Linked DNA regions of Cricetulus griseus. The protein of the gene in region 1 purifies or fractionates together with the protein of each later gene. This does not show direct contact. Links are inferred from orthologs where the notes say so. Each region holds a gene or a part of one and is shown on either strand. Other genes may lie near its edges.

Region 1 (3,616 bases):
GACCAGCAGCCCACCTGACCCATGTGATCAGTTGCTACTTAGTTGCAATGACACTATTACCAAATAAGTTCACATCTGAACAACTAGGGTTTAGGAATTCAACAGAATTAAAGGAGGGGCTGCAAAGATGGCTCAGTGGTTAGCAGCACTGCTCTTCCAGAGTACACAGGCTTGATTTCCAGCACGCACATGGAGGCTCACAACTGTCTATAACTCCAGTGCCAGGGGAATCAGATACCATCTCCAGTCCTTCACAGGTAGTGCACACATGTGGTGCACAGTCATACATGCAGGCAAAACACCAATACACATAAAATAAAAATGGAGAAAAAATTTTTTAAATAATTTGAAGCTGGGCGTTGTGGTGTACACGTTTAACCACAGCATTCCAGAGGCAGAGGCAGGTGGATCTCTGTGAGTTCAAGGCCAGCCTAGATACATAATGAGTTCCAAGACAACCAGGGCTATGAAGAGAAACCTTATCTCAAAACAGAACAAACAAAAAAGAATTTTCAGAAGATACAGTTTAAACCCCATCAAGCCATTCACTGTGGTCAAAGCTTCTAATTATTCTGAGACTTAAAACACAGTGTCTTTCTTTTTGTTGTTGTTGTTGTTGTTCAAAATGGGGAACTTGAAGAAGAAATTAATCTATCTTAAGACCGTCCAATTCCTTAAATGCTGAAGTGTGTGTGTGTGTGTGTGTGTGTGTGTGTGTGTGTGTGTGTATGTGTATTTGTCACCGCACTAAACCCAAATAATCATTTTCGTCATGTTGTGGCTGTGAGTTTCTAAGTGTCCTATTCTGTAATTCAGCTTTTCATCTTAAAATGAGCCAAGGAAGAGGAGAATGTACACAATTACACCAATAGCAGAAGACACAGCCTGTAGTCCATGATGTTTAACACTGGCCTTACGTCCTTCCACACATACTGTTTGTGTTTCTCTTCTGCTTATGGAGGCTAACTATGGCCATGGCTGACAAAAGTTCTCTCTCTATTTTCCTGCACGGTAGAAGGCTAAATCTGTTAGGTGTTTCAGACGATTGACTTTTACTTTGTTGGGTATGTGGAGACCCATAGATTGGGAATGTTGTGTTCATGATCTCTGGTGTATGTCTTCTTAGCATAGTTGTGAAGTCAGGTAATAGTACAGCATAAAGCTTTGGATAGCCCCACAACAATGCATCTGGTTAATCCATATTCTTTTGTGTCTGGTTTTTTCCTTCCTTTATTTCAGCAAATTGATGGAGAAGCGTTTTTACTTATGACCCAGACAGACATTGTGAAAATTATGAGCATTAAGCTGGGCCCAGCTCTCAAAATTTTCAATTCTATCCTGATGTTTAAAGCGGCGGAGAAGAATTCCCACAATGAACTGTGATGACAGTGAATTTGGGTACCATCAGCTTCCGCTTTAATGCTCATCATGTTTATTCAAAGCACAAGGACGGTTCTAGCTCCTGACTGAGAAGTCTCCAGGATCCCAAGAGCAGCGCTATGGGATTCCATCCGTCCCTCCGGACTGCATATACATTCTTAGGAAACGCCTGGGCTTCTCACCAGCTGCTGTCCAGCAACGGTCATCTTTCAGTTCTGCTCACTGAGCTAAACTTACCTTTGTAAATCTTTTGGAGGTGGGAGGAGGGTGGGGAAATGGGGGCTTCATTATTTATGGATGGGGGGCAAAATAAGAACTTCGGCATTTTGTAAACATTGTTGGATTCTCTTTCATGTACACTTTCTTTTTTTCAATACTTTCAGAAACCTTTTTATATAACTGAATTTCAACCTAAACCAAATCCGTTGAAACCTGGCTGAGTTGAGCCTGGGACTAGTGTCAGTCGTGTTCGCCCTGTGCCATATTTGGAATTGCAGCATTAGCCAAGTGTAACTTTGCGAGTCACGATATTGCCTAACTGTGTGTCATCATTTGTTGGGACTGAAGAACTGTAAATACTATCTTTCTTTGAATCCATGTTTTTACTTTTGCACGCATTATGAGTTGTTAAACAAATTACTTTTCACCAGCATCTTTACTGTTATTACCAAAAAAAATGTATATAAAAGAACAGAATTGAGAAATAAAATATATAAACCTACTTAGGTTTGAATGAAGTAGTGTATCTGGGCGGAATCAGTTGTGCACAACATGGTGCCCATGTGTTTACACCAGTGGGTATCTGAGGATTATTCGGTTACATTCCAGGGGATGTTCATCAGGAGCTTGATTTAGGAGATTATTGTGTGCATCTCTGTAAATGACATGGAAGTAACTGGTGCTTTATAGAAAAGGACTCTTTCTGTTGATGGAAACACTAATCGTTCAAGAGATCCCATCAGTCATAGGTCCTCCAGACCCAGGGGATTTCCTCAGAGTGAGCTGAGAAGCAGGGCATTGATGTTACTGCACAGACCTGGTGTGACATTGTTAACACCAGCAGACCCCAAAATTCTCCATGCTCACAAGTCGAGGAAGTGGTTCCCAAAGCCATTATTTGGGAACCTCCAATGTGGAAAGATTCCTTTTCCTATGAAATATTTTGCCTTGATTTTTAAGCATCTGGATGCACTTTAAATGAAAGCCCTGGGTTATTTATAAATTCATAGCTGGCTCTGTTTCTTTTGTAAGCATGCACTTCTAGGGGGAAGGTAAATTATTTTGTCAGTCTTTTGATGTACTTTCTAATTCCAGGATTAGACATTTGTCCAAGGACTGCTTTAAAAATAGGAAGTTTAGTAGCATGCTGTCGGAACTCTGGGGAGAGTCCCACCTCTTTCCATAAACTCTTTAATGTTTTTCTGATGTAGGACTTCCTTTGATGTGCCATAGTAGGAGTTTATTATCAGTCCTTTGCATTTGTCATGATTCAAGGTAAAACAGGGTCCCTGACATCTGCAGTGTCCAATTCATTTCTTTGCATGAATCTGCTAAATAAGCTTTTTATTGTTATTTTTCCCTTTTTCGTTGTGTTCAGTATTTGTACATTAACTTGCACTTGTTACATGTGATATGAATGAAATAAAATCTTAATTACAGATTCTTTTTATATATGTATGATTTTTAAGGAGGTTATTAAATAGGAGATATAGAGAAAACCAGGAATAATATCATATCTAAGAAAAGCTATATAAGGCCTGGGTATATATTTGAACACCTACCTGGCATTTATAAGACCCTGGGCTTGATCTGCTCCACTACAAAGCGATAACGAATAAATAGCATTAGAGATACCATAGGTCTGGGAGTTGCCTCGATGCTAAAGTGCCTGTTACAAAACATGAGGACCTGAGTTTGGATCCCCAGCACCTGTGTAGAAATCAGGCATATCTGTAACCCCAGTGCTGTGGAAACAAAGGCAAGTGGATCCCTGAAGCTAGGAAGCCTAGGTGAATTTATGAATCCCAAGTTTAGTTAGTTAGAGACCATGCCTCAAAAGAGCATAGGTAGTGAGGCTAGAGAAGTAGGCCAATGGTTCAGAGTACTTGGATCTCAGCCACCTTTAACTCCAGTTCCAGGGGATCCAACCCCTTCTTCTGGCCTCCACAGGCAGTAGGCACATACACGGTGTACAGACTGCAGGCAAACACCCATACTTCTTTTTTGTGTTTTTGGT
Region 2 (4,273 bases), on another chromosome or scaffold:
TGAGGTAAAACCTTCCATTGGTATCTCCGAACTGGTTGTGAGTTATTAAGAGTTGGCACCGTAAATGTAAACTTTTCTCTATCGCTTTCTTGTAATGGTATAGTGAAAAAGCAGTCTTTAAGGTCAATTACTATGATCGGCCATCCTTTAGGTATTAAGGAAGGCAATGGCATTCCAGGCTGCAGAGCGCCCATAGGCTGAATTACCTTATTTATGGCTCTCAGGTCTGTCAGCATTCTCCAGTTACCTGACTTCTTCTTGATGACAAATACAGGAGAATTCTAAGGGCTGGTAGATTGCTCTATGTGATCAGCCTCTAGCTGTTTCTGTACTAACTTTTCTAGAGCCTCAAGCTTTTCAGAGGTCAACGGCCATTGCCCTATCCAGACTGGTTCGTCTGTAAGCCATTTTAATGGCAGGGCCTTTGGTTCCTCTGAAGGCCTGTCATTTGTATTTAGTGTCTGTACAGCCCGGATAGTTGGTAACCATTTTCTATGGCATCTTACCCGATCTTTTCTACTATCCCACGATTGTCTAGAATTCGTATTTGACACTGGAGGGATGTTAATTTGAGTATTCCACTGTTGTAATAAATCACGACCCCATAAATTTATAGCAATATCTGCTACGTAAGGTTTCAATATTCCTTTTTGTCCTTCCGGTCCAATACAAACCATCGAGTTAACACTCCGTCGAACTCTAGATAGAGTTCCAATTCCTAAAAATTGTACATTGGCCTCTTTAAGTGGCCAATTCTTAGGCCAACATTTCTGAGTGATAATAGTCACATCAGCTCCAGTGTCCATTAAACCAGAAATAACTTTCTTGTTAATTTTAATTTTTAACTGAGGCCTTTTATCATTAATAGAAGCTTGCCAAAATATGCGTTTGTCATTTTCACCAGTCACATGTGTCTCACAAATCAACGTGAGACATTTTAGTGGCTGGACAATAAATGTTTCCCAAAGCCGAAAACATTCTGAGGCAGCTAGGAGTGATTCCTTGTTCTGCTGTTTCATGATAGGTGGCTGACAAGTAAAATGAGCTGTGGAGAGCAGGGCGACTGAGAATGACAAGGAAAGTGTGTCATGCGTAGCTCAAGGAGTACATACAGGAAGGCCTTGTGGAATCCTGTTGGAAACGCCGTGTTCCCACATCTCCCAGGAGAAGGAGGAGCAAGGGCCACAGAGTGGGAAATTCTGTAGCCCCTTTGACCTGGCACTGTTTCTCTACACTCTCAGAGTTCAACACATTTTCTCCACAGCCTGGCAAGGTCCATGAGAGTGGAGAGCAATGGCCTCCCTGGGGGATGGAGTAAAAATGGGGTCACAGTTTTATGTGGTCACCACAGTGTCTCATCGTCCCAGGCTGGTCCAGGTGTATTTAGGCAAAATGATGAACAAAACTCTTAAACACAACCGACCCAAGCCTTCTAAAGAGCTGGGTCTGCCTTAGGAGACATAGTTTCTTCTGTACACACTAACAAAAGCAGGGTCACAGATAGCATTCTCAGAGCTTCCTTTCCATAAATTCAAAGCACCTTCTCCATTCAGACAATTTTCATCTCTTTTGGGAGAAGCACATTTTAGCATCCTCTTTTGTAGTTTCCAAAACACCCGAAGGGTCCAAGGGATGAACGCTAAAGCTCCAGGGAGAGGAACTGGCAGCTTCCAGAGACCTAACCTCCACAGCTTTGTTCTTGCTCTGTTGAGAGGAAGCTTGGTAGGGAGCCTAGTTGTGAAAGACAGTGTTTTCCAAGTTGAGGGAGGACCAGAAGAGACTCTCCCAAGGGTGAGCCATGCTTACCACTGCCTACTATTACAATTAGCAGGATTTCCAGAAACCTTCTAGACTCAGGCCATCTAGATAACAAACATTTAACTGACATTAAGCAGAGGGGGCTGGGAGTAGGGTTTTGAGTAGAGTGCTGGCCCCTATGCTAATACCCTTAATGCCCTGGTTTTTCTCAAAGGGGGGATGGGAGACAGAAGAAAACTGGGCAAAGGCTGTGGACAGACAAGATTTCAACTCCATCCCCTTTCCTAATTCTTGCTGTGTCAAGCCAGTATACGTCTTGCTGGATCCTTGCTTTGCTTATAAATTAAGGATGATAATCTCTGCCTGTTGTAATTTATAGAGTGCTTTGGAAACTTAAGTATATGGGGAATTCTAGAACATTTTAATACATTTTATGGATGGAACATGTCCTTGTCCCTTTCAGAAGGAACTGCTCTGATCCCTGAGGTGGGTACACACTGTTTTAAACTTGCCCCTGAGTTTCTTAAGATTTGTGATAGGATCTTGAAAACAAGATCAGCTCTAGATTGCACTTAATCTCAAAACAGAAGATGTTTTGAAATAGAAGATGGAAGAAGATACACTAGGAGATTCCATCTTGACACTATTTCAGTGGGTTTTAGCTGGAGACGAGTGGTGTAACTTCTGCCTTCACTCTTCCCTTTATCTCCAGTACCAAGAGCTTCTTGCCTCACTCACACACTGACTTTCCCCTCTGCTTCCGTTCTAGGAAATTGATGGAAAATCCCTGCTCTTGATGACGAGAAATGACGTGTTGACAGGACTTCAGTTAAAATTGGGGCCTGCTCTGAAAATCTATGAGTACCATGTAAAACCTCTTCAGACCAAGCATTTAAAGAACAACTCTTCATAGTAAAATGAAATTGAGGTCTCAGTCCTCAAAACAAAAGACAGGGTGATGAAATTTAGTTTCTAGTTGTCAAACCTCACGAACAGAATATTTACATGTGTGTATGTAAAGAATTACGATCCAACAAAGCGTTATCCTATTGGATAGACTAGGCAATCCATTGGCTGGCCTGTCTCAGCCTGGAGGAGCAAAGCCAGAATGTGCACAGGATGGTTGTCCTTGTCAAACCGAGTCATCATTGACTCTGAGATACCCCTCCCCTCGGGGCTTTGGAATCACAAGAATTTTCTTTGCTTCATTGTAGATGGTTTTCTGTCAACTCCTTAAAAAGGGGGTGGATGTGAAATGAGGGATTTGGGTTATAGACTTAGAAATGAGTACAAACAAAACTCAGCGGGGCGGGTGAAGAGTGAGGGAGTGCTTGAATTGCTCTGCCTCTTAGCTGTGTGGATGGAATTGCCAACTCCTCTTTTTTTTGTAGAGGGTTCTCCACTTGACCTTCTTAAGGTTTCACAGGGTTGTGCTGTGCTGTGCTGTGCTGTGCTGTGCTGTGCTGTGCTGTGCTGTGTGTGAATCAAACTTGCACCAAGCTCCCTTCAGGAGCAGAACTCTCTCTGCAAAGAGAAACTTGCTTTGCACTGGACACACCTTGTGATCAACTCATTGTCACGGGGGTAAGAATATTTCCAGCTTATGTTGGTTCCTTGTTGCTGAAGAAAGCATTTAGAGGCTGTGGGGGGTTTTGTTTGTTTTTGATTTTTACTTTATGGTTTGTATTTATGGTAATTCTGAAGCTATTTGCCAAGAGTTAGTAGATCCCAAAGCTTTGTTAATAGCACAGAATATTTTTATATATATACATATATATTCCTCCATAATTCTGTAATATTTTCTTAAATGCCCTGTGCTGTGTTTGGTCCCTGGTTTGAGTACTTGTCTTTCAGAACTTGAAAAAGTGGGCTTGCTACATCTCTGTTCAAAGAGACACTTGCTGAGTGATATTTGTCCATGCCTTGTTGAGTTAGTGCTTTGTGTTTGCAATAAAACACTGCTTCAGATCACCAAGAATGTCTTCAGTTTCTTCTCATTTGATCCCTTCCTTGATGATTAAAGATTGACAACATTTCCTTGAATACCCAGGGAGAAATTTAAGCTTTAAGAAGAAAACTTCAGAGTGAATGAGATGGCTTAGTGGGCAAAGGTTCTTGCCACCAAACCTGAGGACTTGAGTTCAAGCTCTGAGTATACACATGTGCACACAAGTACACACACACACACACACACACACACACACACACACACACACACACACACAAATAATACATTTAAATTTTAAATAAAATAAAACTAAACTATGTAGACCTATATATAAATTGAATCTTATATAAGGCTAAATCACCCCCAACAGATCTCATTCCTTCTTATAGTCCACCCAGTAATCAATTTTAGTTTAACCAAGAATTTTTTTACCTGCCTATCGAAGTCATGATTTGACACAAAGCTTAGCAGAGAGTCTGTGGGCCTCTGACTTTGCCTCTTCTCCCTCTTGTAAACATTACCCTATTGCTCTACAGGGAACATTTCTCTGAAGACCATAAAATCTAA

What was found. The genes of interacting proteins can lie anywhere in the genome.
Region 2: the proteins of L3mbtl3 (region 1) and Samd13 purify together in Homo sapiens (affinity purification with mass spectrometry; 3 studies listed by BioGRID and IntAct, counting the BioPlex papers as one, with this or other methods). This does not show direct contact. The link is inferred for Cricetulus griseus from reciprocal best matches to the Homo sapiens genes L3MBTL3 and SAMD13.

Annotation. Positions count from the first base shown.
Region 1 is NC_048595.1:245,307,583-245,311,198, reverse strand, and holds the end of L3mbtl3 (lethal(3)malignant brain tumor-like protein 3), read left to right. Parts: intron 1-1,239; coding exon 1,240-1,383; 3' UTR 1,384-3,040; downstream 3,041-3,616. UniProt on the Homo sapiens protein: Is a negative regulator of Notch target genes expression, required for RBPJ-mediated transcriptional repression. It recruits KDM1A to Notch-responsive elements and promotes KDM1A-mediated H3K4me demethylation.
Region 2 is NW_023276806.1:12,519,284-12,523,556, forward strand, and holds the end of Samd13 (sterile alpha motif domain-containing protein 13), read left to right. Parts: intron 1-2,527; coding exon 2,528-2,671; 3' UTR 2,672-3,733; downstream 3,734-4,273. Other genes in the region: dnaJ homolog subfamily B member 6, read left to right, coding at 2,528-2,555.